Linked DNA regions of Saccharomyces cerevisiae S288C. The gene in region 1 interacts genetically with each later gene. Each region holds a gene or a part of one and is shown in the gene's direction. Other genes may lie near its edges. The genes, in order: OM14 and NCR1.

Region 1 (3,006 bases):
GTGGCAAAAAAAACCTAGCAACGCTCTATGTTTCTTTTCTTTTTTCTTTCTTTTTTTTTTTTTGCCGTTTCCGATGGGCCACTCGGTGAAAACATATAAAAAGGGCTCTACATTCATTTTTTCATCGATGAGTACTTTACTTGTTATCAGATTTATTCATTTTGTTTCTACTTGTTTTTTTTTTAAATCCCCACGAATCTCTTTGCCTTTTGGCTTAGATCAAGTGTAGTATCTGTTCTTTTCAGTGTAACAACTGAAATGACCTCAATGAGGCTCATTACCTTTTAATTTGTTACAATACACATTTTTTGGCACCCAAAATAATAAAATGGACGGGAAGAGACTTTTTAAGCAAGTTGTTTTCCGCTAATGTCAGGTCTCACTACTTTTTGCTGCTATTTTTCTTCGCTCATGGTTTCTTCATAAGGCGTTTTTATGATGGTTTTTCGAAATTGGTTTTTGAGACGACGGTTGCTCAAGGTTATTGTTTTTGTTTTCTTCTGGTTGTTTTCTATTTTCTTTTTTTTAGCTTTCTGTTTCTCCCTTAGTTTGGCTTTTTGCTTCATACTCTTCCCTGTCTTTCCGAGCCGTTTATGTCCAACGCGGGATTTGGTTTTTCTTTATCGATGGGAAGAAATGGTGCTATAGTAGGTTGGGAGATAATATTTATGGTATGGGGTGCTAGTGCGGATGGGGCGCTCTTATTGTTGATTTCTTCGCTCGTCTTCTTTTTCTGGTGGCGCTGCAAGAGGAAGTTTTTCGACTTTGTTATGATTTTTGGTTTGCAAGGAAAGGTGTCTTACGATTCTTTTTTTGATGTAATAGGATAAGCTTGCTTATCCCCCAAGTATCGGCCAAAGTTGTTGATTTTCCTTTTGAAGTGTCCTCGGTTTGAGGGGGTGTAGGGTGGGGTTGGTCTACAATAAGAGTGTTCCATTGTTAACGTGCTGGCGTCTTTTACTATATTTTTTTTCCCAGTTTATTTTGTGCTTATTTTCTCATTGAGGAGAAGGAGCTCTTCTCGCAGGATATAAATGGAGGTTTGCTAAAGGGGAGGAGATGTGTTTGTGAGAATACTGCTGAGAGAGTTCTGGAAGAGAAAAAAAGGAGGCAATGGAAGGCGTTTGCTGGGAAAAGAGAAGAGCCATGACTGCATCTGTTGTTTCAAGGCCAGTTTTATTAACCGCCTATGTCATAGAGGCGTTTTTTTTGGAGGGATTTGAAGAATGCCGGCGGCATCAAGAAACGGACTTGATGGTTGACGCCTGTTTTTAAAGTTAGAGACGTCGCGACCCTCGCACTTGTGGAGTCGTTCTTGACTTTTACTTTGGTCGCTTGATGTTTCTCTCGTCTTCCCGTTCGCTCTTTTATTTTTTTATTTTTTTTTTCCTTTGACTTCGCATGAATGAGTTCATTCATGAAGCGAAAGGAGAGATTCTATATACCACGCAACCAAATATGTAAGTATATAAAATATATGTATGTGTGTGCACTAATTGGCGGCATACTCTTTCTTGACCCGTTGTGATAGGGCCTTAGCTGCTTCCCATTGCCTGTCCCGAGTCCAGCGACTCAAGACGTTGGACGTGCGCACGTACTCACACATGGCCGAATTGGCCCTTACGAATGAGCTCTTGGCTACCCCTCTTGCTGCACTCGCCACACACCATAACTGGTATAATTCGTTTCTCATGCTAGTCTCTTTTTTTTTTTTTACTTGTTTCCTTTTCCTTTGTTGCTTATCCGCTTTCTCGTTCTCTCCTCTGTTCTTGCCTCAACTCCTCAAATCTCTGCTGTCCCACTTACGTTTTATTTTTTCACCGTCCCCTTTCCCTGCCCTACTACCCCGGGCCAGCGGCCAATGACGCCGCCGCTACCTCCTCTCCCGTTAATCGTCCCTGCGTATATAAAGTGTCGATCAATGTGCCCACTTCAACCGAAACCGCCGACGTAACCCTATTCCAACAATTAGAAACATAACATCTACCTCCAGCATCTCATAATATGTCTGCAACGTATGTACACTAATATCTGAAACGTATCGCCTAATCTTTTCTCCCGGTTCTCTTTTGACTAACGTATATCATCTATGACCATCTTTCTTTTCCCCAGTGCTAAACACGACAGTAACGCTAGCCCAAATTCTGACTCTGAAGACGGTCACCACCACAACAATAAGAAGGAATGCGCTATCGAATATCTGAAGGCACGGTTAAATAGTGCATCAGCAGTCGCTTGCGGCTACCTCCAAGCTTTTGTCAGTAAGACGCAAGACTTTGCCAAAGTATGCTTTTTAGAACTTCAGAATCCCGTTGTCTTGGTCAACTTGTTGCTGCATTCTTCAGTGGTATGTTATTTATGTAACGGGTATGCGAACCACAACGCCAGATTCTTGAAGGGGAAACCTAACTCTACAGTCTTAGCAACAACCGCCGGCGCTCTGGGTCTTTTGACGCTGGACGGTATAATTTCAAAGAAATACTACTCCAGATACGACAAGAAATAATAACATACTATTTAATAACATCCTTTCACACACTCACACACTCACACACTTTATATACATATATTTTTATAACTATTACTGCTGATTTATTTGTAAGGAAACGTGCTTTCCTCTTCATCGGTCAAGTGATAAGTTTCTATAATATAATAGCTTTTCTGTCTACTATCATTCTTTTTTCATTTCAAGTACCCTTAATTTGTTTTACCCGGACCACGACATTTTCTCACTACGGCACTTGAGAGCTATAACTCAATGAACATGTTGCTTGGAGTTATTTGATTGCTCTGCGTATCTTAAAATAGCGGTCTCGAATCAACCGTATGCAACATGGTCCTTTTGAAATGGCTCGTATGCCAATTGGTCTTCTTTACCGCTTTTTCGCATGCGTTTACCGACTATCTATTAAAGAAGTGTGCGCAATCTGGGTTTTGCCATAGAAACAGGGTTTATGCAGAAAATATTGCCAAATCTCATCACTGCTATTACAAAGTGGACGCCGA
Region 2 (6,179 bases), on another chromosome or scaffold:
AGCCACCCGTTCCATATCGTATACTATGGCTATTGAATAGCCGTCTGGAGAGAGAGATATTCCGTGTATGACAAGAGTTGTTTCATAATTATTGAATTCATTCCAAATTGTGCTCCATTTCTTGAATTTCTTCTCTAAGTAAGGCGCGATAATATTATCAGCCGTCACATGAAGTTCGTCTTCTAGTAAAACTTTATAACTAGTCTTATTGGACATCAATAATATCGTGCTCTCTTTCTCATGATTCAATGGGATTATATGAAAATTTTCGAGAGATCCTGTTTTCAAGCTAGAAATTGAATAATTTTTTAAATCTATCTTATGCACATATCCGGGACAAGTTAAAACCACCTTATAATCCACTATCTTTAAATCAGTAATTTTTCTTCTCGAAGCATTTTGTATCATTCTAGAAACGGGTTGATGAGAGGAAGCAGAAACTGTCATTGAAAATACAGAATTGTTTGAAAGCGCCGCTACAAGAACGTCTTCGTACCATACTATATGAGTGACCCAGTCTTTTGAGCCTGCGTCACTTAATCTAATACTACTCTCAAAATAAAATTCTGGAGTATTTTCTGAATTTTTGCGAATGCTAAAGAATTGAAGCTCACCGTCTTCATTACCAACCACGATTGATGATTCAATAGGATTCCATTCAAAACAATGGTAGGTTCTGCTACTTAAGTTTCCTTTTGAATCGAGATTTGTGAGCATTTTGTTATCTTTGAACACAGAAACATTACCATTATTGCTCAATACGGCCATCCAATCGTCTATTGGTGATGGCTTACAGACTCTGGGATAACAAACAGGTTGTGAATTTAATAACCCATTCTGTTGCGCCAGCTCGAAATCCAGTTTATTTTCAAATTCTAGCGGGAATTCTTTCACATGAAATAAATTCTTACTGTTGCAATTAATGTCTTTAGCATATTTTGGCTGCCCAATGCTAATATCAGGAAATGTGGTCAAATATAGAGTACCATCCCGAGCCCATGTTAAATTGTTCTTCCAATCCTCAAATTCCTTTCTATCTACCAATAAGTCCTTTAGAAGCTTCATTATGAATTGAATTGGCTTTCCTAACTCCTAACAAAGTTAGTCATGCTGCTTTTTTCATTATATATAATTCTGTCTAATCATTGTTTAGATCTCATTATTGAGAAAAGTGCGTTGCGCGTAAGAAACAGAATACACTTAAGGTGCGAAATGACGGAAGAAATACGCCATTTAAAGCCTTCCAATACGAAGCAAAACTTCAAAAGCAAATGCTGGGAAGTTGGATTATCTTTGGGAAGGTCTATTTCCTTTTTTATTGAAATAAATCATTCAGCTAATTGCATACCGTGGCTAATGTCACAACAGATGTAAGCAACAATTTAATCTTACATAAATGTGTTGCAGTTGTGGTATTTCGTAATATATACGCAATGATTCTCTCCTATTATTGAACTGCTATGCAGGTATTCGCTACATTGTTTTTCTACAGGCAGTCGTCGACATAAATAACTTGTATAATCATTTAAGCGCATCCCAGTAATTAACTATTACCGAACGATAGAGTAGTCAAGATATTCTCTTCCCATCACTAACATCAAGAGCGCCACTTTTTGGCAATTAAACTAGACTTCTGGATGGCGCTAGCCCATTACCTACAGTACTAAAGATTATTTGCGATATTCTGATAAAGAGCCTTGAACTTCTCGGGTGACCCCCTTAGCGTTTATATAGCGGGAGTGCCAAACGAGAGGAACATCAACAACCAGTATAACAACGTTCTTGTGTAGAAGATAACTAAATTCATCTCCAAAAAGAACAAGAGCAGAACTTCAATTAGTAAAACCATGAATGTGCTATGGATTATAGCACTAGTTGGCCAGCTGATGCGGCTCGTTCAGGGAACAGCTACCTGTGCCATGTATGGGAACTGTGGGAAAAAGTCAGTATTTGGAAACGAATTACCTTGCCCTGTGCCACGTAGTTTTGAACCTCCTGTTCTTTCAGATGAAACAAGCAAACTTTTGGTTGAAGTTTGTGGTGAAGAGTGGAAAGAGGTCCGTTATGCCTGCTGTACTAAAGATCAAGTGGTAGCACTGAGAGATAACCTACAAAAGGCTCAACCTTTAATTTCCTCATGCCCAGCATGCCTCAAGAATTTTAATAACCTGTTCTGTCACTTCACTTGCGCTGCTGACCAAGGAAGGTTTGTCAATATTACCAAGGTAGAAAAGTCAAAAGAAGATAAAGATATTGTTGCGGAATTAGACGTTTTCATGAATTCGTCTTGGGCATCTGAATTTTATGACTCATGTAAGAATATTAAATTTTCTGCTACCAACGGTTATGCGATGGACCTAATCGGAGGTGGTGCTAAAAATTACAGTCAATTCTTGAAGTTTTTGGGGGATGCTAAACCTATGCTTGGTGGATCCCCCTTTCAGATTAATTACAAGTATGATTTAGCAAATGAAGAAAAAGAATGGCAGGAATTTAATGATGAGGTTTATGCTTGCGATGATGCTCAATATAAATGTGCGTGTTCTGATTGTCAAGAGTCTTGCCCCCATTTAAAACCTTTAAAAGATGGCGTGTGTAAAGTTGGCCCTCTGCCATGTTTTTCCCTTTCTGTTCTGATCTTTTACACAATCTGTGCACTTTTTGCATTTATGTGGTATTATCTCTGTAAAAGAAAAAAAAACGGGGCAATGATTGTGGACGACGATATTGTTCCAGAATCAGGTTCCTTAGATGAATCAGAGACGAATGTATTCGAAAGTTTCAATAATGAAACTAACTTTTTTAATGGTAAACTCGCTAACCTATTTACGAAAGTGGGACAATTTTCCGTTGAAAACCCCTACAAGATATTAATAACCACTGTTTTTAGTATCTTTGTATTCAGTTTCATCATATTTCAGTACGCTACTCTTGAAACAGATCCAATTAATTTGTGGGTGAGTAAAAATTCTGAAAAATTCAAAGAAAAAGAGTACTTCGATGATAATTTTGGGCCATTTTACAGGACAGAGCAAATATTTGTTGTGAATGAGACAGGCCCTGTGTTATCATATGAGACACTTCACTGGTGGTTTGACGTTGAAAATTTTATTACGGAAGAGCTACAATCGTCAGAAAATATTGGATACCAAGATCTCTGCTTCAGACCAACAGAAGATTCTACATGCGTAATAGAGTCTTTTACTCAGTATTTTCAGGGGGCCTTACCAAACAAGGATAGCTGGAAAAGGGAACTGCAGGAATGTGGGAAATTTCCTGTAAACTGTCTACCTACTTTCCAGCAACCTCTAAAAACTAATCTTCTTTTCAGTGACGATGATATTCTCAATGCGCATGCGTTTGTTGTAACACTTCTATTGACCAACCACACTCAATCAGCTAATCGCTGGGAAGAAAGATTGGAAGAGTATTTATTGGATTTAAAGGTCCCCGAGGGCCTGAGGATCAGTTTTAATACCGAAATATCCTTGGAAAAAGAGCTTAATAATAATAATGATATCTCGACCGTTGCAATATCATACCTGATGATGTTTTTATATGCTACATGGGCCTTGAGGAGAAAGGATGGGAAAACTAGGTTGTTACTTGGAATATCTGGTTTACTCATAGTTTTGGCTTCTATTGTTTGTGCAGCCGGATTTTTAACTCTTTTTGGTTTGAAGTCGACATTGATCATAGCAGAAGTAATACCGTTTCTAATTTTAGCAATAGGAATAGATAATATTTTCTTGATTACACATGAGTATGATAGAAATTGCGAGCAAAAACCGGAGTATTCAATTGATCAAAAAATAATAAGCGCTATCGGGAGAATGTCTCCTTCCATTTTAATGTCATTGCTATGTCAAACCGGATGCTTCTTGATAGCTGCATTTGTTACAATGCCAGCTGTCCATAATTTTGCTATATATTCCACAGTTTCTGTTATATTCAACGGAGTATTACAGCTAACAGCGTATGTGTCCATTTTGTCTCTCTACGAAAAGAGATCCAATTATAAACAAATTACCGGAAATGAAGAAACTAAGGAATCATTTTTGAAAACGTTTTATTTTAAGATGTTAACGCAAAAGAGGCTCATAATCATTATCTTCTCGGCTTGGTTTTTCACATCTCTGGTTTTCTTACCAGAAATTCAATTTGGGCTAGATCAAACATTGGCTGTTCCACAGGATTCCTACCTGGTTGACTATTTTAAGGATGTTTATAGCTTCCTAAACGTAGGACCACCGGTTTACATGGTCGTGAAGAATTTAGATTTGACTAAAAGACAAAACCAACAGAAAATATGTGGTAAATTTACAACTTGCGAAAGAGACTCATTAGCTAATGTACTGGAGCAAGAAAGACACAGGTCAACAATTACGGAGCCATTGGCTAATTGGCTGGACGATTATTTCATGTTTTTAAATCCTCAAAACGACCAGTGTTGTAGATTAAAGAAGGGAACAGATGAGGTTTGTCCTCCCTCTTTTCCAAGTAGACGTTGTGAAACTTGTTTCCAGCAGGGTTCTTGGAATTACAACATGTCAGGGTTTCCTGAGGGCAAGGACTTCATGGAATACCTAAGCATATGGATTAATGCGCCTAGTGACCCCTGCCCTCTAGGTGGTCGTGCGCCATATTCGACTGCGTTAGTTTATAATGAAACGAGTGTGTCTGCGTCAGTTTTCAGAACAGCTCATCATCCTTTGAGATCCCAAAAGGACTTTATCCAGGCGTATAGTGATGGAGTTAGGATATCAAGTTCTTTCCCCGAACTAGATATGTTTGCATACTCGCCGTTTTACATTTTTTTTGTTCAATATCAAACTTTGGGACCATTGACGTTGAAGCTAATAGGGAGTGCCATTATCCTAATTTTTTTCATTTCATCTGTTTTCTTGCAGAATATACGCAGCTCATTCTTACTGGCTTTGGTCGTTACCATGATTATCGTAGATATTGGTGCTTTGATGGCCCTACTAGGTATCTCACTCAACGCTGTCAGTTTAGTCAATTTAATTATTTGTGTCGGTTTGGGTGTCGAGTTTTGTGTTCATATTGTTAGATCATTTACAGTGGTCCCCAGTGAAACCAAGAAAGACGCAAACTCAAGAGTTCTCTATTCCTTGAATACCATAGGTGAGTCCGTCATCAAAGGTATAACTCTAACCAAATTCATTGGAGTTTGTGTACTTGCATTCGCCCAATCGAAAATATTTGATGTATTTTACTTTAGAATGTGGTTTACACTAATCATTGTAGCAGCATTGCATGCTCTCCTATTTTTACCTGCTTTACTTTCATTGTTTGGTGGTGAAAGCTATAGGGACGATTCCATCGAAGCAGAAGATTAGCCATAGCAGATTATACTATATTTTACGTAGTGAAAAAATAGGTAAAAATTCGTTAATTATTCTGATGCCACACCAGAAAATCTGTGGGAAAATTTTTCGAGTCAGAAATGATAACACTAACACAGGCTTCGTTGTTATCGTGCATTGAAGTTAGATACTTCTACTATATTTAATCTTTAATAGTGTCATAAAAGTATTATTGGTTTCGGGCGAAAATCGTCATTTTCGCACACAGAACTTCAAAAGAGGAAAGGCCAAAAGAACTAAAACCGATTACTTCGGGGTGATTTTGTTCTGGCATCTTCTGGCACTCTTGGGCATCCTTAGCCATTTAGTATATTTATGAATACATTAAGGTGTTTGACACAAGCACTATCCAAAAGTGGGAGAGAAGCTCCAAAACTATATCAGAAAGTAATATTTCCAGGCCTGTTCAGAGAGGGTATACCAATTGCAAATGTCAAGAAAGTTGATGAAAAAATAATAGATAGCCCAACATCAACGTCAGTTAATGGAGAGGCAAAAAAAATAGTACGGCATGGTGTGAAGTATGAAAGGGAGCAAGTTAAGGAATACCTTTCAAGCCTGCCGACTTTAACGCTTTCTAGGAAACAAATTAGGGATGACTATGATGAGGAACGTGCAAAACGAATGTATATGTTCTCTAAACAAACGAATTCCTCGAATAAATTCCAGAAACTTCTTACAGCAAAGTCTCAAGAGTTTACTAGAGAACTATTGACGCTACTGATAGATTGCACATCGAATGAGAAGAATTCAGGGCCAGAACGCTTCACTCGTAAGTTTCTTAAGTTTAGT

Evidence for each region.
Region 2: mutations in OM14 (region 1) and NCR1 together harm fitness more than expected from each alone (negative genetic interaction), as found in Saccharomyces cerevisiae (2 studies listed by BioGRID).

The regions. Positions count from the first base shown.
Region 1 is NC_001134.8:679,049-682,054, reverse strand, and holds OM14 (Om14p), read left to right. Parts: upstream 1-2,004; coding exon 2,005-2,015; intron 2,016-2,112; coding exon 2,113-2,506; downstream 2,507-3,006. Other genes in the region: COQ21 (Coq21p), read right to left, coding at 1,493-1,693; glucan 1,3-alpha-glucosidase ROT2, read left to right, coding at 2,834-3,006.
Region 2 is NC_001148.4:542,784-548,962, forward strand, and holds NCR1 (sphingolipid transporter), read left to right. Parts: upstream 1-1,847; coding exon 1,848-5,360; downstream 5,361-6,179. Other genes in the region: transcription factor TFIIIC subunit TFC8, read right to left, coding at 1-1,065; AEP3 (Aep3p), read left to right, coding at 5,703-6,179. UniProt on the Saccharomyces cerevisiae protein: Involved in sphingolipid trafficking. May recycle sphingolipids between cellular membranous compartments.